Linked DNA regions of Struthio camelus. The protein of the gene in region 1 purifies or fractionates together with the protein of each later gene. This does not show direct contact. Links are inferred from orthologs where the notes say so. Each region holds a gene or a part of one and is shown in the gene's direction. Other genes may lie near its edges.

Region 1 (10,884 bases):
GTGCTAAAGCAAGCATAGAATAAAATGAAGTTAACAAGCCAGCTATCGCAATGAGCGCACACAGAAGTTACAAGCCAAAACATGAAGGCTATAGCACCGATCAAAAGTTCCTGCCTGCCTGCCAGGACAGCGGCAATGCTGACTGCACTACACCAAAGCGTATCCGAGAGTAGAAAATGCAAGGGTAAGGAGAATCATAATTTTCCCAATCTACATGGAGGTAAGGGCCATATCAGGAGATAATCCTCAAAACTAATCCCAGGTGCTACCAACTACTGTTTCATGAAACAGCTAGTTAGCCCGCAACACAAGATGCGATCCCTGGCTCAGTCCCCAGTAACATGCAAGACTTCACTTCAAATCTTACAGTTGAAAAGTGACATGTAATATAGCAACTCTAATACTGTTCAGTCTCCCTACAAGACCCACAAAGACTTAAAATCCATTAAAATTTATGATCAACTTTATAAAGGCAGACTAAAAAAACAAGCTTGTTAGAAGTAGTCTGTGAGGCAACCAAGAGTTAAACCTCTCTTAGGTTGGAAGACGGCTACTTAATTCAACGCACAATGTTCACAGCCAAAGCATACCACCTCTTAGAAAGGCTTGGAAAAAGGCAGGAGAAAGCCAGCATAGCTGAACAGTGTGCTGACAAGGGAGATGTTTGGATAGAAGAAGGTATCCTTTAAAAAGCTCAAGTAATGACCAAATGAGCATGGATCAAACTTCAGGAGACTAAACGCAAAATGCAATAAGGCAGGCCAAAAAGAAAAAATAGCGAGGAAACAGAAGGAATCCAATTATAAATTATAATAATACAATTCTGTTTCTGTCTAGCTAAAGTTTTTCCCCTGTAACGCCAGAAAGCAATTACTGGATCACAGCACGAAAAACACAATAGAGCAGACATTTTCTTCAGTCAGGAGGTGATTCAGCTATCAAAGTGGGGTGGGGTTTTTCTGCGCTATTTTAGGAAAAAAACACTGCTTTTAATTATCTAAAGCTAAGGCTTCCAAGGTTCATTCATCATGACTGGCACCTGCAGCAAAGGTATCTGCAGTTCTCTTTCTTTTTTCCCCTATTCTTTCCTTTTCAAGAACAGCACAAAAGGTGTGAAGTTCATGTGCAGCCAATAATACTGGAAGGTAAGCAGGACAAGAAGTTGTGGCTAGCTAGGGCATGTTTTGCATTTGCAGCATCAAACAGTGAGCAAAGCATATGTCATCATCCCTTCCCTCCTACAAAAGCTACCCAAAATATAAAAAGGAAGAGTGCTGCAGCAGCCAAACTAAAACTGAGAAAAAAAGGTGGTGCTGCTTCTTCCTGAAAGAGCTCCCCTTGCCAGTGAAGCAAATCAGCTGGGGGATAGGCTGGCAGGAGCGGCTGCAACACAGCATGGGAACTTCCGCCCAAGCACGGGACGCACAGGCTGGCAGCAGCTGGGGAGGGCAACGGTGCTGGCTAGAGCACCCGTGTTTGGGGAAAGCAGGAAGCCAGGATAAAAGTTGAACTATAAGTTTTAGGACATCAAGGCTGGATGAGGAGAAAGGGGCTTTAGTGATGCTTGGATTAAAGGACTCTTTGGTAAAGCAAAATAGTCTAAATTATAATATTTGGGAGACATCAGGGTTTGTATAGCTCATGGTTTTGGGAAAGAGGTAAGAGAAGGCATTCCTGTACGCAGGCAGTGGTGGGAAAGATAAGGAGGGCGGACAATTCCTGTAATTAAAGAAAGTTCAATCTGAAGTTTAAGTACTACTAGCCTGAAGTTTGGAATACTTTCATGGGCCGTGTTGATAAACGCATTTTTTTAAAAAATGCAGGTAATAAGGCTAAATACAGGGCTAATAAAATAAAACTAACTCACTAGTTTACTAACTTCTTTCTTTGAAATTTGGAAAAGAGATAAAAAACTATGCAAAAAAATCTTTTTTTTCCACCTAAGAATAATCAGATGTTTTTATGTCAATTAGTACCTAATATGCATCTGTTAGTGAAGTGTGATATCTTATGACACCCAGCTGTCTTTCACTGTATGATAAATGCCATTTCTATGGCTTGCACTGCATTTTTTGAAAATACAAACATACTTTCAGCATGCTTTATTTTCAGAGCGATAGTTATGAAAGAGCAGTATCAAACCCCCAGTGGGGCTCAGGGCTTTGTTTAATCATAAACAGATAATGGGAAATGAGATGAGAAGAACAACTGCTGATGAGTTGGCAACAACATTTCACACCGCATATGTCAGGGGGCATCAAGCAACTGGCTAGGCAAGATACTATTTCAAGAAAACATTTGGAAACATCTCTGTCAGTAGCTTTTCTTGCTAAGTGTGGCAAGAGCAAAGCGTCACTTTCTCCTAAGTGTAACTCTTAAATATGTTACGCTAAACCATTAATCTAAAAATGGCTAATGCAAACACACAGTGCTTTAATTCTGAGAATTATATAAAAATACTACACCCTCCTCTCATCCTATCGCTTGTATAATAACCACTGCCACGAGGCTCCTGTGCATAGTCCAATACCAATACATAGATAGCTGAGCACTGGAAAACATTTTTCAGCAGTTTGATACAAGCGATGAATGCTAGAGTTTTGTAATTCTGGAAAGCATTCCCCAGCCCGTAATATGCAGCCCTCACCTTTTTACCAAAAAACATGACATATACATCTATTTTCAGGTGGAAGCAAGTGAGCAGAGTAACATTTAAGAACATCTCCCATAAATGTCAGAGAATTTTAAACAACTTCATAGACTGCAAACCAACCAGTGGATCGTGAGTGGCTGAATCTTTTTTGAATTTGAGTTCCAAGCTTTAGAAAGCTTACGAGAACTAACTAGTTCCTTGATTTTATGGGATATATTCTTTGAATATAATTAAAAAGAAAGGTATATCCTGCAGAGATATTTTTAACTTTTTTTTTAAATCTTCCTAAATTCCTACGAAGTCTTTTAAAAAAATTCCTGTTCATAAAACCCACACATTAGAATACGAACAAACGTATGCATCCATTTCAGGACGCTAACTAAATTATCAGCTATTTTTATTCCAATCTTCTGATTAGTAGGATATCCTCAAAACAAATTTACCTATGTCAACATTTAAATTAGCTCTCAAATTATGCATACTCATTAATTTACATGAGTTTATGGCATCTAGTTCTCTACAAAAATACATCAGCACACAAAACCTCCAACGCATAGACGTCCAAAAATACTAAGCTAATTAACACAACGTTATATCAGACACTGAGAATCACTGTGGTCAGAAGGGACCTCTGGAGATCATTTAGCCCATGCCCCTGCTTAAAGCAGGGTCACTTTCAAAGTTAGACCTGGCTGCTTAGGGCCTTGCCCAGTCAAGAATTTTTCCAAGGATGGGGATTTCACCACCTCTCTGGCTCCTGGTTCCAGTGTTAGATTGCCCTCCTGAGAAGAACTTTTTTCTTGCATCTAATCTGAATTTCCCTTCCCGCAGCTTGTATCAGTTGACTTTTGTCCTTTGACTCCGCACCACTGAGAAGCATCTGTCCTCTATCTTCTCTACAATCACTCATAAGGCAGTTGAGGACGTCCAAAGCATAGGCACAAGAGCTATCCAACCAACTTTTCTTTTTAAACCATCTTACCATTATAGCTCGCCATAACAACAATAAGACACATAAAATAGGCTATAAACTGTCCCAGTAAAAATACTGATTTTTCACTGATTTTTTGAATTAGCTTTTAAATTGCTCAACAATGCCTAGAAGCTCAGGTCACAGACCTGAATCATGACAAGTAGCTATCATCAAGATTTAAGCAGATTCAAGCCGACAGTGTGACATAAGGTTTTCACTCTCAGTTCAATAATGGAATGAAGCCAGTGTTAACTTCAAGCTGAAATGCCCTTGTGCTTTGAAATCTCTAGTCTGTGATTGAGCTGTATCTATTCAGGTCACAGCATACACAAGTTTTAACTTTTAGTTAAATATGTTTTTATTGGTAATACAAATAAAAGCATCAAGACTGAGTTCCTTTAAACAAAGTTAATACCATTTGGATTTACATTAATGATATACCACATCTCCTTATCTATAGAGTTTTCATACAATATTGTGCCTACCACAGTCTTCATCTTTTAATGCAAAAGTTTCAGGTATCCATAAAATTATAACACAGATATAACATTAATTTCACCTATAAACGTATTTGGATAATCATTATGGGCTGAATGTGCAAGGCAGTCAGAAAACAGAGTCAACTTTCAACAGGTAAGAAATAGTTTTCATAAGAACAGAACTTGTCCAAGAAGTTCTCTCCAGCCCAGAAACTTAATCACAAACAAAAAGCAACTAATAGCCACTTGCCATAAGAGATCACTTTCCTACCCCCACAAATAAACTCTGAGACCCTTAAGTTGAATGCAAAAATATCTTTTTGCAAATCAGTCTCTTTATCAACCACAAAATTAGTCCAGGCTTTGAAGTCACTTTCTGAGGGCCTTGCAGGTGGAAAACTTGTCCACACAGGAGTTAAGGAAAAATAACAAACTAATTTAGATTTCTTCATGCTATTTAGGCTTTAGGGGTTAAAAACTGCATTTTCACAGCTTTCAGTGTGTATACTAGTTTAGAAAAAACAGGTAACGTAAGAAGCCAAAACTAAATGGAGCACCAGTAATATTCATTATTTACAGGACAGAAGAACGCATCTTCAAAGAGAAGCCAGAAAGGGATTCTCACTAAAATCAGGAATTTTAGAGTTCTGCCACATCAAGTGCGCACAGTTATACTCTCTTTAGGAGAGGCCAGATGCGTTTGCTGACACCACCACAGCTGAAAGCATCACAAACCTGACTCCAGAAGGCCAGACGGGGACAGACCTCAGGGGCTGCTGCGCCAGCACATGGCTCAACCCGGCGTTCTCCCAAGCGGCCGGCCGCCTTCACTGCGCGGGCAGAGACACGCGCTCCCTGCGTCCCGTTTTGTTTTCTGGAGGCTCTTCCCAATCTGAGGAGCTGACCTCCACCATCCCAACGCCCTCGCTTCACCCTAACGAAGCGGATCATCCATAACCCAACGGCTTTAGAAGAACCTGCGACCCCTGGGCCAAAAACTACATGCCGCCATTCAGCCGTGACAGAAACCTACCCCTACATACGCCTTTATTTCCTAAGCTGCTTCCAACCTAAGCCCCCTTATCCTTTTCTTTCCTCCTGTTCAAGGAAGCTGATGCTGCTCCTCTCCGGTGCGGCCTTTCATAGCCCTTTTCATTAGGAGACCGGCGCTTTCCAGGTCCGTAGGCCCCTTCCCCAGCGCACCGGAGCGCGGCTTCAGCCCTCCTTCCTTCACCTCGCCCAGCCACGGATCTGCCATCTCACTGGCAGAGGAACCTAAAGAAATGATATGTATGCGTTTAAAACAGAAGTTCTCGTGTTCAACAACAACGTTACTTCCCAGCCCTGAGGACCTCGGCGCCGCCTGCAGCGCCTGCCCCTCCGCAGAAAGCCGCGATTCCTAACGGTAGTTTATAACCCCGAACCCCTCTGTGTGTTGGGGGGGGGTGCGTGGCGGGGGGGCGGCGGAGGTCACATTTCACGACGGGAGGATCCCGTTTCTGAGGGAGAGCGGCGATTCTGAGGCAACTCGTGATTTTTCCAGCCGTCGGTCGCAAGCGCCTTCTCAGGCATCGGGGCTTCCAACCGCCTCCCCCCCCCCCAAGCCGCCGCGCTGGCGACGAGCAGCAGGATCGCCCCAAGAGTTGCCGGCGGCCGCCGGAACCGGGGCAGCCCGGCAGCGCCGGGTGCTTTCCGTCACGGCCGCCGGGGACGGGGTCGGGGACGGAGCCGCGCCCGCCGCCGCCGCCGCCTCAGCCCCGCGCTCGCCCCCGCCCTGCGGGCAGCCGGGCGATGACGTCACCGGATCAGGCCGACCGGCAATGGGCGCCATTTTGAAACGCCGAGCCCTGCAGCGGCGGCAGCTCCGTGCGGCGGCGGCCCCGACCCGCTCCCGGCCGGCGCCTGCCCCCCGCGGCCCCCCGCCTCACCGGCACCGCGCGACATGGCAGGTGAGGAGGGCCGCGCCGCGCCGCCCGGCCCGCGCTGCTGCTGCCGCCGGTGCGGGCAGGGCAGGGCAGGGCAGGGCGGCAGGCCGCGCCGCGCGGACGCGGGCAGCGCGGCCCTGCGCCGGGGCGGCGGGGCTGAGGGGCGCGGCCTGCGCCGGGGCTGGGGCCGGGCCGCGGCTGGGGGCGGCGGGCTCCCTTCACCGAGCTCTTTCCCTTCCCCAGGGGTGGCAGGAGGCGGCGGCAACGATTTCCAGTGGTGCTTCTCCCAGGTGAAGGGGGCTATCGACGAGGACGTGGCGGAAGGTAAGGGCGGCGCCGCCGCGGGCCGAGCCGGGCTGGGCCGGGGGGCCGCGGAGCCGAGGCGGGGGGCGGCCCAGCGGCAGCCGCGCTGCCCTCCCCGCCCGAGGCTCGCGGGACGGGGCGCACCTGGCCGTGACTAAGCTGGTGCCCGCGCCCCGCTCAGGGCAGCATCCCCGAGCAGGCGGGGGGGCTTCCTCCCGGCCGGCAGTCCCTGGGGAGAAGGAGTAACGACGGGGACTAACTGCAAAGGGGGAGGGGGGGAGGAGGAAACCGACCGCACAAATGGAGTCTGTCAGGCTTGCCGAGTTTCGCTCTGAAGCAAGGAGAGAGTGCGTGGCTCCGTCGTGTGGGCTTAACTTAAAAAGTAGGGTTTAAAGGCTCTGGCAGCTGTGAATGGATTTTATTCCTAGTCGTTAGCCTGTGGAAGCTGCCAATAAGGTATTTAAGTAGGAAAAACAGGCACACCTTAACGTTTCTCTGGAACCTACGAAGTGCAACGTGCTTTGGCATGAGTAGAAAACAAGAAATGTTTTACTTGGAAGAAGTATTTTTGTAGTGTGTAGAATTGACACGTGAAGCTCTGCTGGAGTTTGATGAGAACGTTCTCCTTTTTTTCTAAATTTTCCGTGTTTAAACTGTTCAAGTTGGAAATACTTCACTCTTTTCTACACAATATGTGTGTGAAACAGCGTTCTGTGGTATTTATTTAGACTTTTACTATATTAACTGACATTACTTACAATAAAATAAAATACAATAAAAAGTTAAGTTACTTATAGTCTCTGTGTGTGGTCGTCTTGGATTGTAGATTTTTTTGCTGGATGCGGTAAATGTTTTCTCTTACTGTCTACTATAGAGAAATTATTCTGACAGTGTTTTCATTTCCCTGCCACTTGTTTTGACATTCCATTCAAAATAATAGCTATGGGAGGAATAGACTTGGAAACCACTTGAGGAACTAGTGTTCAGTTGAGGTGGTTGTTTTCTTCCCCCCACCCCCCTTTTTTTTCTAAATAGATTTTGAGACGTAATATTATTTTGAAGTTTCCAGATTGCTTATGTAATGAGTTAAGTGGCTTTTATGACTTTCCAAAATGGTCCTTCTGTCTTAATATCTCTCACCTATATTGCTTAAAAGTCGGTTCTCCATGTTAGAATAAATATACTTCTCTGAGCACCTTACTTCCCGGTTACTGCTGAGCAACATGAATTTGTGTAGAGTCAGAAAGCTTCTGCTTTTTGAAACACCAGTGTCTTAAACCCCGTCAGTTAGCAAAGTGTGTAACAGCACTGTTCGGAGAAAAGAAACTTGTGTTACTGAAGAGATGAGTCACAGAGACTGATGAGTTTCTTAGGTTAAAGAGGTGAAAGCTCTATGTTTTGAAAAGTTATGGGGAAAATAGTGCCTCTGGTGTTCAACGATTTTTCTGGGATTTACTCTTGAGTTCTTAGACTTCTTCTGGAGTGAGGGCTGCAGATTATGTGAGGTTATTACGTGTAATTCCATTTACTTCATAGGGCAACTAATGTATGTAATCAGTCAGTGTGTGGTTTTGCAGAATTGGTACTAGGGTTTTGTTTTCCTTCTGGAATATCAGAATCAGTTGTAGTCTTAGTGACTCGCTGTCTATATTCCATTTTTGTTCTTTTCTTCCCTCTATTAGTTTTTGCCTTGAAATAGGAATTAAATGTGGAAACCACACAAAGCTGGTATGTTCATAATTGCCAGAATTTGACTCTGCAATATGCAATAAGAACATGATTCCATTGCTAGATTTTTGCCTTGTTACTGAGATATTGACTAGAACCACTGTGAATTCTGTCTTTTTCTGTCAGCTTGCTATTTTTGTAATTTTATTTCTGTGATTTGGGAAAAAAAATAGCCCTATAAAGGAAGGAAATCTGAAAATGACAACATAAAGTAGCTGTTAAATGCATTAAATACAGACTTTTTGTTTAATGTTCGTATAGACGGTTTATCTAGTGGTTAAAATTACGAAGCCTGACATTTGGACTTAACTAAACTTAACTAAAAAGGTCTCTTCCTTCTGAACTGTTATTCTTGAATACATTTTATACTCAGCAATTGTTTTTCAGAGGTACTGCTTTGATGGAAATATTAGCATGGCTATGACAAATTGATGCCCTTAGATTTGCAACTGCCATCTGCATTCTGAAGATTTTTTCTAAGTAGGTCGTTAATATAGAAAATTACTTTGTCTCTTCTTTGTGTTTTCTGTGTATTGAACCAGTAATCTAGTTATTTAAACACAGCATTGAATAGATTTCAAAGAAGAACAGTGTTTGACATAGCCAGATTGGTCACCTAAAGAGATGAGTAAAATGTATCAGTTATTGAAATATGCAGTTTTTAAAGCAGAAAACTTTGGCTGGATTCAAGGAGCAGGACTAGGGGGGAAAAACAGTTATTGAATGAAATAACTGGTATTGAAAATGGTAACAAATTTCATTTGACCTTGCTTGTGCAGAGGGGTTGGACTAGATGATTTCCAGAGGTCCCTTCCAACCTCAACTGTTCTGTGATTCATTTTAAAAAAAAAAAAAAAAAAAGTAAACTTGTGTTGTAATTATTGTTTGTATAAAAGCATGTGAATACAAACACAATGCTCATAGCCTGTGGAACTTGGGATTGTTATTCTTGGATTACCTATTTTGGTAGAAAGTAGCATTCTAAGTACAGGCTTCAATTTTTTTTTTTTTTTAATGCTGTCTCAGACCTAGTTAGTTTTGTGATTTCGGTGTTTTATCCAATTTGGTCCACATGTTCAAAAAAGTTCTGGTTTTGTGGGTGGGGGAAGGTTGGCAAGCAAAATATCAAACGGTTACCGTTACTTAATGCACGAATATGCCCAAATCCTCTGGGCCAGATGTTCTGCATATAATCTGTAACTACTTCTGGACATAATTAACAACGTGTGTGTGTGCACGCGCACTTGCCCCTGTGTGGGGCTTCTTGGTTTTATAGCGTGCACTGTAAGTCTTCCTAATTATCTTGTGCTATTGACAAGTTGGAAATTCTTGTCAGAACATGAAGCTGTATACTGTGGAGATCTTAGATTTCCTACTGTTGATATTGTAGTTTCTTTGGGTTTTGGTTTTAAACAGCTCCCCCCCTCCACCTTCCCCCAAACGATCTTTATGGGTTTTTGGTTTGTGATGAACTTCTGTAAGTGCTGTTTTAATTCAGTACTGATTAAATATATCTTCCTGTCTCAGATGTGAACAGTTTTAAGAGTGTGATTACCCCACTAAATAAAACGGGTAAAGACTTCAGCTAATGAAGTTCCCCAGATGAAAGCAGTACTTGTTTCAAGTGCTATATTTGAATTTTTTTTGAAGCAGCTGAGTCTGAAGCCTGGTCCTGCGAATAATTGCGGGACATGGTGCTCTTCCTTTGCAGTAGAGAAGAGATGCTGTGAAATCCTGTTCATTAACTTAAGGATGCACCTTTGTAAGGTATTTCATAAGAAAAGAACTCTTTCTCTACCAAAAAGGTTGTAATTGACTTTAAGAGTAGTTGTGCTGTTGTTGGTTTCCTGATCATTAAAAGAGAAACTACAGTTTTTGAAATCTCCAAATTGTAGCTGGCATTTACAGCACTGTTGAACTAAAAGATACCTTGTTTCCCATCCGTTCCACGAATTTTCTAGTTCACCTTTTAAAACTTATTGTAGTACTGAGTAAGTCCATCCTCAAAGTTTATTTAAACACAGAATACAAGTAGAAAAGAAAACTATGGTCTGATAAAAAATACATTGATCTAAAATCCTGCAATTGTTCTCAAGTTTAAAAATGCCCCTTGTGTTAAATCCTTTTTACAAACCAGTGGCTTAAAAAATGTTCTCGTGTATTGTTCAGGAGTTTAACGGGCACTTTCTCGTTATTTTCAAAGCTAATGTTTTCACTTTTTTTCCTTCTAAAAAAAGGTATAGCTGTTTGACATCTGATTAAGATTGAATGGAAGGAATGATAGACCTAGTTACTATCTTTAAGTTGCTGAGTTTTTGGGGCTTTGTTTTATTTCCCTGTAAGAACTGAAAAATTTGATGAGGGAATACTTATTAAGCCATTTGAATTGCATTTCTTCTCATTCTTAATAATTACTTGTTTCTGATAATCTCACTGCTTACTAGAATGGGGTAGCAGGTGAGTGAGCTTTGAAGCTATTTTAGGTGAGAGTAACTATTAGCGTGCTTTTGCCTTGATCCTTTGACAGCTTTACCACTTTTTTGCTGAAAGTCCCAAAAGGGCTCTTGTTAATACTCTGGAAAGCCACTGTTTGTTTCAGAGACCAAGGATACTGATACCTTCCTTGCTCTTTCCTGCTCTGAGAGTTGGATTTGGTGTTCTACCTAGTATCTGTGATTACATAAGATGGACTTTAAAAATAACCAAGACATTTCCTAAATGTGGACAAAAGATATTTTGAACAGGTTTGACCTGAGCACACGTTGTATAGTGGTTTCTAGTTGGAGAAAGAAGTCTTCATGTTCTAAGTAGACCACTTTAATC
Region 2 (10,316 bases), on another chromosome or scaffold:
CGGGAGACAGCTTGCTCTTTGTTCCGCAAAACATTTTTGTTTGTTTTGTTTACTTTCCTCAGTGGACAAAAGTGAAGAAGGCAATGTAATTAACCCCATAAAGCCTCCAATTTATGGTGCCAGTGACATGCATGCGCTGCTGCGCTGGAGCGAAAAGTTAACTGGGAAAGCGGTTTTAATTGGTGCCTCTTTTTAAAGACTGGATGACGTGAGCTGCCTTGTGATTTTGGAACTCTCCTTATATAATAGAAGGACTTTGCTTTGCCAGCCCAGCCTGACTGGTGTGACCCTCTTCCTCTCTGATTTCAGTCATAATAATAACATCCAGCACCTATTCAGTGTCAAAACCCACCACATAAGTTAACTAATCAAAAATACTATCAGTTGTAGTTTACAACAATAGGAGCACCTTTTACTCTCAGGATACTAAAGTATTTTGCAAGCTGAACTCCCATTGAGCTAAGTAGAACCTGGACGGAGTTTTATGCGTATAGCAAGCCATGCACCACCAGTGGGGTGGAAGCAGAGCGAATGAGACATTTTGGCTAAGAACACTGGAAAAAACATGTATGCTTACTGAAATAAATACCATGGAGTTTTATTGTTCTCCTAGAGCAGGCAGGATAAGCACTCCTCAGGAGACGGCTGCAATAAACCTGATGTTACCTTTTTTTCCTGTCTGCCAGAGCTCTGTAGCAAAAATAGATTCATATATTTGAATCTGAATCATATATTTCTGGCGCAAACTATAGCCCTCACAACCACTGTTTAAGAGTTCACTGCGTATTGGCTGTCAAGAGTGCTGATACTTATAAAGGATCAAATAAAGGAAGGAGACCACTTTTCTATCAATATTATTGTTTTCCCTCAGGCGAAACAAGAAGCAGAAAAAGGAGCAACTAGTAGAATTAACTATTTCTCAGTTAATTCTAACATATCAAAAAGTAATAAAATCAAAGCACACAATCCGTTTCTATTCTGATAGTCTGGAGAAGGTGGTAATGAGACTTTAAAATTTTGTACTGGAAAGTTAAGAATTTGAAAGTACATTTTCTTTTTTTCCTTTTTCACTGAAAAAAAATGTTAGCTAAGAAAATCAGGGGACCCTAACTAACTGAAACAAAGTAAACCCAAACAATTTTCATGGGAAGACTTCAACTGAATGAAAAGGAAAAAAGACGAATATGTGGGAATTAGGGAAGTTAGAGAAACATCTGCTTAAAATTCTATCTAAAGACAGAGACACAAGATCATCTGGATTTGTATCATTGAAATTAGGACAGAAGTTAAGAAAGTGAAGATACCTTTGAAACACTCTCGTGGAAAGGCTATTTCTTGACTCACAAATCAATTTCTGATCTCAAGTGAATTCCCTTTCCACTGAACAGTAAGTCCAACCCTAGAAAAAAAATCCCAACAGAGGATTGCTTGAATTTCCCTCAAGTGAGGGCCAAGAAATACAGGGAAAAACACTAGACTTGGCAGGTCTATAGTTTATCTACCTCAGAAGGATGAAGAGCTGAATTGACCCTGTTGGCACACAGACCTGTTGTTTTACCAGTCTAGATATTTCACCCGATCTTAACTCTTTCACATCACTCCTGTATCATGCTCATGTGAAATGGTATTATATATGTTTCCGATACAACATGCATTGGAAAGAATGGAAAAACATCACTGCACAGAGTCCGCGCTGACTTGCTGCCACCTGTCGTCATTTCCCCCTTCCCCTCTGCCTCTTCCCTGCGGTCGCTTGACATCTCCCTTCTTCGTGCCTTTTGTACCAGGTTATCGTTGCACCTTCCAGCGGTGCCCTGCTCCTCTTTTTCTACCAAGTACGTGGCTCCCTCCTTCAGACTGACTCCTCTGTTTACTGTTGATCGGGAACCCTCACTCCCTTTTCCACTCCAGCCTCTGGCGAACGCGGGGCCCCGGCCCTTTCTTCGTTCTCCGCTGTGGCGCTAAACTGGGAGCTCGCTGCTCAGGAGCGAATGCTCCGTATCAGTGTGCTGAAATACCGTAGTTCGTCTCACCTGTTCGTATTATCGAGATATGGAGGAGATCTTTGTTTTCCTTCGGGCCTGTCTGCGTCTGCTCCCAAACCATGGCCTGTCTCTTGGAAGTCCAGCTTTCCGTTTACATTCAGCACAGCCAATTCTAGATGTTTCCCACTTAACCCAATGCTTGCAATCTTGCTGTTCTCGTTACCACCAGAGCCTTGAATTCAGGGATCTGCTTGACTCTTGGCGGTCATTTACTGTGGCTCAGTTGCCCCAGTTTTCCGCTGCTTCACTCACAATGTTTCTGTAACTGCATCCTTATCTATTCAGGCAATAAGCATTTGAATCAAGGCCCTGGTATTTCCCATCTAGGCTTGTAACTTCTTCCCCCTTGAACTTCTGGCATGACAGCTAGCTTGATCTACTCAAGCAAAAGCTCTTACGTCTCCTTCCATGCCCATTGCTGTGGTCCGAGCCAATCGCCTCCTGCCTTTCCTCCTTATTTTCCTGCGTCAAGTCAAGTCCTTTGTTTTCCCGTTCTAGGCCGTCTCAGCTCTGCCTTGGTTGTTGCTGCCCCACGACTGTCTCCACTGCGTGGCTCTTCTCGCTGTTCACCGGGGAGGCGGGCGTCCCTGTGCGTTTGTCTGCTTCTCGCGGGAGAGCCTTTTGGCCCTTTCCCACGCTGCTCTTGCCCACAGAGCCTCCACCGGATAGATTGGTGATACCCAACTTTGTTGCAGCAACCGTGAAGACTAGGCAGCTATGAAAGAGGCTACGCTGGAATTGTTTATGTGCGATGTTGTTGTTGCTTTTTTCATGTATATGCAGCACTCTGTGCAGTATCTTTCCCTTTCCTCTCTCTGGATGCCGCTTGCTTTCTTTAGACCCTGGGTGCAGACAAGCACTGCTTGTGCGCAGGGCTTGTACAGGGGGATTTCTGCAGTGTGAATTTCAAATAACACCAGCAAGGTAACAGCCACCAACATGAAGGCAATGATATTTCCTAAGCACTATGATCCACAGTGATATAGTACAGTTAAGAAGCATTGCTCTGTCCTTAAGTTGTCTTGTTATGCTATGAAAATACTCCAGAACAGGGTGTATGATAAATACTGAAACCTCAAGAGCACTTAAGTACAAGCCCAGGACTTAAGAAAGGCATAGCCCCTTTAAGACTATTCTCTTGTCCTTATTGATCTTGGTGAGACCTGCAGCATTATTGTAGCAGGCATTTTATATTTAAGTTGGGGTTTTTAGAGGCATTCTGGAGCTATATAAAGAGCCCTTTTCACTGACATCGGCATCAGGCTTGTTATAATGTGAATGGCATCATTACAGTTCTCTCATTAACATCATAATGGCTCTGGAGGAACAGTGAGTGAAAACCCCGGCAAATGGAGTGGAGTAGCAATGTATAGTAGTCGTACTGTGCAAAACCGCATACGGAAAAAGTTTGACATTTTAACCTTCAGGCTGCTGTAGATGCCTCAGGGTGTCCTTGCACTGCATGCGTTTGGCTGACAAAGTGGAAAAACTGTGGTAGCCTAAGGATTGAGGGCTGGGTTCAATAAAAAATTGTGCCTGGCTTCCATGCCACTGAAGCCCACACAAGGCTCCCAAATGGATTTCTTAAAATTGAATCCAGCCCTAAGTGTCAACCTTTTGCTGTAATTTTGTATAGTACATGTATTGTGTGCTCAAACGTGCATCTTTCATCCTTTACTTCCAGTGGTGTTAATGGAAATGTAACAATGCATGTGCTGTTCTGCAAGGTCTCATTGAAATGAATGGGATTTTGGACGAAATCCCTACACTACATACAATAATGTACTACAAATGGGCTGGGCTTGTGGCTGGGGGATGATGAGATCTGGGTTCTATTTCTAGCTCTGACGCTGGTTTGCTCTGTGACTTTTGGCAAAATATTCAAGAGTAGCTTTTGCCACCCTTAACGGGGAGAAACAGTATCTTAATTCTTTAGGAGTAATGCCGGAGCTCTGGCAGAGTGCCGACGTTAGGTACGGTACCACTCTGTCGGTAAGACCGACCTCTTCAGCCTTGCAGTTGCGTGGTGCCGAACTTTACACGGAAGGAGGCTGATGTTTCAGATGTGCCGAGTACTCGCAGCTCCCCTCCCACTCATTTGCAGCAGTTGGAAATCAGTGCTTCTGAAAATCAAACAAGAGCAAATCGCATGCCCAGAATCGGAAGCCCTTTTCAAAGACTGGCTCTCGGCTTCTGTGCACTGAAGCAATTTCTTTGCTACAAAATGGGGCTTATTTTGTAGCTGAGTGACACCACGCCGAGACCTACAATTTGGGGGGGGGGGGAGGTTGCCTTCTTTTTTCCCCCTAAGGAAGCTCTATGTTTTGTTTTTATTCTATTTGAAAACATGGAGAATGTGCATGGACAGTAGCTGTTTATAGAAGTGAACTGGCCTGCCTCTATTAATTTTGCATGTTGTAAATAGCAGCAGCAGTTCATTTACTTTACAGGCTGTCCACAGAACTCAGTTTTTCAAGATAAATCAGCAGCGCTGTGCAGAAGGCATCCCAACACTTCCTTCCTTCCTGTGTGTTTCTGCTTAAGCATAGAAAGACCTGTTTGTGATGAAACATGGTAAAAAAATGCACAGTCCAGATCTCCAATGCTATTCTCATAAAAAATTTCCACAAAGAGATGCTGAATTCATTACAAGCAAAGAAATACCGACTTTCCACAAGCGGCAGCGAGTTTCTTCCAACCCTTATTCTCTAAGGACAAATGCTGCATGTTGACATCATGCCAACATTAGGAGACTGATGTCTGACTGTGAGTGATGCCTCAGTGCAGATTAATGAGACGAGTCCACGGGTGCTTTCTAACGACAGTGTAATCCTTTCACGCACGAAATCTATGACTTTTTAAGCTAGTTTGTAGGCTTTTTTTTAGATCTTCTCCTTAGGTCAGCCGACTCACCCACTCGTGGTTTGGACCAGACTTTCCATGTGTCGGCACTCAGCTGGCAACCCAAGGGGCAGGGAACAATGTGTATTGTCTGTGTCATGGCTCGTTCCTAACGGGCCGGTCCGGTGGCCTGGGGTTCCTCGTGTCAGCGTTTCTTTCTCCAGAAAAAGCAAGATGGCATTAATGCGCTACTCTGAGAAAAGGGGCCGGGGGTCACGTGTAACGTGTGCTTCCTTGCCTGTAAGCCTGGTTCAAGCTAGAAAATAATTTGATTATGAGGAAGGGGTTTATGCATCTCTTAGTGCATTTGCGGTGGCGCCTGGTGGCCTTCACCGAGCTAAATGCTCAGGGATTTCAGCTGACTTCCCATTCGCCTCCCGTCCTCTGCCTCAGCGAGGAGCGCAGCGCAGACCCGGCGACGCGCGCAGCTCAGGAACAGAAAGTTAGTGCGTGCTGGAAGACCGTTTCTTAATAACGTAGCAGCCTTGCGCATTCTTCAAGGATTTAAGAAAACAACCGGCAGATGTGAATGATTTATTCTTCTCCTTCTCCTGCTGCCGTTTCTTTTCTCCCCCCCCCCCCCCGCCCCCGACTAGACAGAGCTCCGCCGCTAACGCAAACAACCGCCGGGCTTCCACCTTGCCCACCTGCGGCCCCCTTCTCGCCCTGCGCTTGGGCCCTTGCGTCCCCCCCGCGGGAAGATTGCACGGGGAGGAAACTATATCCCGCTTTCTTCGAGAGAGGAGGAGGAAGAGGAGGAGGAGGAGGGGCGAGGCTGCGGCTCGGGGCATTGTTCCACGCGCCTCTGCCGGGGAGCCGGTGCCGCTGGACTCATCCCCGGCCCCTGGCGGAAAGTTTGCTCGGTGCGCGGCGCTGCGCGGCGCTGCGCGGCCCGGCTGGCGGCGGCAGGAGGCGGCTCGCAGCCCGGCGCTGGCCCTGCGGTCCCCGCTCCTGTTTAATATTCTGCCTTGCTCCGCCGATGTTGTGCTTGGCTCCTGCGGGACTGCAACTCACGGCTTGAAACCGGAGCCAATTTTCTGTCTTAGTCTCGCAGTGTTTTGACTGGAGGCAGATCCAGTTCAGTCCGAGCGGGGCTAGTGGAAACAACTACCTAAGTCTCTTCTGTCTGTTCCGTTTGGGAGGGAAGAAAGAAGAAAGAAACGCAATCCCCAACTGGTGTGTGCGCGCACACACACGCACACGCACACACACACACACGCACACACACCCGCCGGTGCCGAGCGCGCTGTGCCAACGCCACCGGGAGAATATGGGAAGCGAGTGAGCGGATCCGTGCCGGTGTGTGAGCGGTGCCGGGCCGGGCCGGGGGGCAGTGGGGGGACCCCGCGCCCTGTGTGGGGAGGGCTCGGTCGGGGCTCGGCTCTTTTGCTTGCGACAAGGAGGGAGGGGGGAAAAAAAGAAAAAAAAAAAAAACAGGTTGGCAACGTACGCGTGCCCGCCTGTGTGCATGATGCATCTGCTCCGGCCGCGGCGGAAAGCCCCGGCGGAGGGCGGGCAGGTGAAACGCGGCGGCGGCGGGCTGCGGGGGCACCGGGAGGGCGGCTCGGCTCGGCCCGGCCCGGCTCGGCCCGGCCCGGCTCGGCTCGGCTCGGCCCGGCTCGGCGCCGCTGCGCGGGGCGCTGACGCCGCTGCTTCGCTTCCAGGTGCCGGGCGCCCGCGATGACCCTGGTGCTGCCCATGCAGCGGCTGGGCCACCCCATCGCCGCCGCCGCCGCCGAGGGAGCCGCCGACCTCGCCGCCTGCCGCGCCCTCTGGGAGCCGCCCTGCTGCGGCCGCCCCGGCCCCGGCCCCGGCCCCGGCCCCGGCCCCGGCCCCGCCGCAGCCCCGGCCCCGGCCCCGGCCCCGGGCGCAGGTAGGCACCGCCGCGCCGGGCGGCCGGGCTGCAGGGGCAGGGGGCGGCGGGTTTGGGGCAGGTGTATGAAACCCGCTGGTAGCGAGCGGCGGGGGCGGCCGGGGCGCCCTGACCGGCGCAGCCGCTCGTCCGGCTGGCTGGAAAGCGGGGAGGAAAGTTTTGCCCAAGCCGCCAGGCCGGGGGATGTGTCGAGCCTGCCAGCGCTGCCCCTTGAGACGGTCCTCGGTGGCCCGGGCCAGCGCACGTTGCGCGCGGTGTGTGCGTGAGGCAGGTGAAGGTTTTACTTTTGATCGCTACGGACATATGCGAAAATATGTGGTGGAGCTCTCCTGTAGCGAGAGAGGGAAATGAGAAGTATTTTGTTTGGAGAACCTCCGGCAAACCGCATGTCATTTGTCATATCTGATTTATTGCCCACAGGATCACATTACAGGGGAATTTCAAATCCTGTAACAACACCCAAGATCACATACTTTAAAAGGAAATATGTGGAAGAAGAGGATTTTCATCCACCACTCAGCAGCTGTACACATAAAGTATGTTTTCTAGTAGTCATTATTTTTACTCCGAGTTTCAGATGCTTAGTAACGCTTGACTGACCCATTTCCAGAAGGCTGAAATACTCCACTGAAATTAGGAGAATGATCCAGCTGTTTGCTTAGAAATGAATAGTTCTCACTTGTTCGCATTTATTGTTTTGTTGTCATCGAATGGCTTCAGAAGGAAAGGCATTTCTTCAGCTATAACAACTGTAAATGTAAATGCTCAGAATAACTTTTGTGTTCTTAAGAACATAGTTTTGCTCTTAAGTAGCTTACATCATCTTTATAGAGACAGTTCTCTAGAGTTTAAACACCAAAAATGAACAATGTAAATAAGAAGGATGCATGTTTCCCCATTCACTCGAAACTTTTTACAGAGGGGAAAATAATAATAGGTTCCATATAGCCCAAACAGGTATAGAGTTTCTCTAGAGAAACAGAATGACTTGAGAGGGAGTTCAATCTCCTTCAGTATTTAATCCTGTTTATAGAAAAGCTAATAACTACAAAAGAACAGATTAGGAAATGAAAAATATATTTTTTTTAATTAAAGCTCTCAAGAGAGGGACTAGAGCAAACACTTCTCAGGCCGGTGAATACATAAATTGAAGTCTAACTTTTTATGAGAGATTTTATGCCCTTGCTCAGTCCTGTAAGGAACTGAACACCTGCACTGATGTGCTGAAGGCTAGCTTGCACCTTGAGACCTCCTCCTTACCTGACTGGATCATACCTGGCCCATGGTACTCCTGTGCTATCCGTTTACGATTGGAGATAGAGATGACATAATACAATGTGATTAAAGCACTGCTCAGGGAAGGCAGTAGTACCATGAGAGCCCCAGAGGCAGAAGCCAAAACAAAGCAAGAGGCAGAGCGAGTTTCTACATTATCTTCGCTTGCATTGCAGTTCCCACCTGGAGAGGCAGCCTCTGAGACGAGATGGGATTTCAGGCCTCATTCATACCACGGGCACCTCCTGGGGAGGTTTGGCCATTTGGATCCTATTTCTCCGGAGAGATTTTCACTTAGGAGAAGTGAGCAGTAGTGACAAGCTCGCTCCCCCAGGACCTCAGGATAGCCAAAGGAGTTTTCAGCTACAAATAGTATTGGCTGGAAGTGAATAATTGACCGGAAGGTGAAAAATTGCCCTGTCGTTAATTCCAGAAGATGTTTCATCTGCTTTCAGAACAATGAATAAATGGCACAGAAGGTGCTGAAAAATGTGCTCTATTTATACATATATGTACATATATATGTTGTGTGTGTGTGTGTGTGTGTGTATACATACGTTCATACACACATCATTCTCTAATTTCAGCCAACTCTTTTCTTGAATAGATTGTTGGATTTTTGTACCAGTGATTATTTGCCTCCTAAAAATGAACAGTTGCTTCTCCTTTTTAATAGCATGAAAAACAGCTGTAGAGGTACTGGTAAGATAGACCTGTCTCAGACATCATTTTGTGCTATTGTAGAAATGTATCATGTCAGAAATCTCGGGTCACCGATTTGTGCTTTTCGGCACAGATACGTTTTCTACTCTGCAGCGCTGAGCTCTGGGGGAGGGAGGATTCCCACCAGATTTCTTTGAATTCCTTACACGTTTTTATACCTCCTCTGCCCAGTAAAGAGCGAGCTATGTTCTCGGGTTACTTCTTCCCACGGCGGGTATGACGGTAGGGCCCTGGAGCCCCTCTCCAGGACAGCTGGCAAAGCATTTGTAGTGGAAGGCCTTTGACAACTTGTAACTACTGGTGGCTCTCCAGGACATATCTCCAGGAGGATCTCAGTCCAAGGCTTATGGGTTTGCTCAGGGATTTTATGGGTTCACTGGCTATTAATGCAACATAAAGGACACAAATTAACCTATAGGCTTAATGTAATTTAAAGTGAATCATTTATTGCAGCAGATTACTCCTTCTAACACAGAAGAGTTTCAGCTGGGAACGCACATGGCAAACACGGCCAATTCTTGTTTTTATGAGGCAGTGTGCTGCTTCTGAGCCTGCAGACAGGCCCAGGCTGTGGAGAGAGCTGGAGGGCTGAGGAGAGCTGAATGGATGTGAAAAGCAGCTGTGCTTTAAGCTCTTTCAGTCCTCATAGCTACGACTTCCACTCTGCAAAAATGCTGTAACCATGTGGGAAAGGGAAGAATGATCGAGCCACGGATGGGGGGGGGGGGATTTAGAGCAGCCTCTCTTTGTGCTGTGCTTCTCTCCTCCTACGCAAACTAAATTCTTACTAAAAATGAAAATTAGTTAATACTGCTTACAGTAGCACGCATTACCCCCTCTCTGTTTGGATTCCCAGGGTAGCGATTACAGCGCTGAAGCCAGGGCCTCCTGGGGGCAGTAACCTGTTCGTGCTGCCAGTGCCGAGAAAGGCAGTCCTGGGAGGACCGTGGAAGGGAGAACAAATCCGCGGGCTCAGAGCCAAGCTTTTCTCAAATCCCTACCCGCTCTTAGTTTCCTGACCTTGTCCCTGCCGACCCGCGTTCCCACCGAGCGCGCAGCACGCAGGGTGCAGCGTGCGGGCCGACAGCTGCTCACCAGATGTGGCGATGCTTTGAGACTGGCTTCCCCCTGCCTTCCTGCCTGCGTGCTTTCGGTGCGCAGGAGCAGTCCGAGGCAGCCTGGCAAACAGAGACCTCCTCACCGGCGGGCCCGGGCCCCGGGCGGGGGATGAAATGCCCCCGCGCCGGCTGCGCGAGGGCCATGGCCACCGACCGGGATCGGCAAAGCTTTCACAGCGGTGGGGCTGCAGGGGGGGAGCCGTCGCCTCGGCTCATGGCTTTGTCGAAGCCCCACGGGGGACAGAATTGGGTCTATTTACATCAAAAAGCCCCCGGGGATCGCTGGAGCAAAGCTGCCCGACAGTTTTACAGTCTAACCCAGAATGCAAATAAAAAGCTAGATTTGTGCGTCCGGATTTTGCTCTCACGTCCTGGATTGGT

What was found.
Region 2: the proteins of PPP2R2D (region 1) and SERTAD4 purify together in Homo sapiens (affinity purification with mass spectrometry; 3 studies listed by BioGRID and IntAct, counting the BioPlex papers as one, with this or other methods). This does not show direct contact. The link is inferred for Struthio camelus from reciprocal best matches to the Homo sapiens genes PPP2R2D and SERTAD4.

What each region holds. Positions count from the first base shown.
Region 1 is NC_090948.1:1,114,947-1,125,830, reverse strand, and holds the start of PPP2R2D (serine/threonine-protein phosphatase 2A 55 kDa regulatory subunit B delta isoform), read left to right. Parts: upstream 1-5,901; 5' UTR 5,902-6,047; coding exon 6,048-6,054; intron 6,055-6,273; coding exon 6,274-6,354; intron 6,355-10,884. UniProt on the Homo sapiens protein: Substrate-recognition subunit of protein phosphatase 2A (PP2A) that plays a key role in cell cycle by controlling mitosis entry and exit. Involved in chromosome clustering during late mitosis by mediating dephosphorylation of MKI67.
Region 2 is NC_090944.1:113,206,621-113,216,936, forward strand, and holds the start of SERTAD4 (SERTA domain-containing protein 4), read left to right. Parts: upstream 1-6,128; 5' UTR 6,129-6,245; intron 6,246-6,610; 5' UTR 6,611-6,626; coding exon 6,627-6,819; intron 6,820-7,239; coding exon 7,240-7,355; intron 7,356-10,316.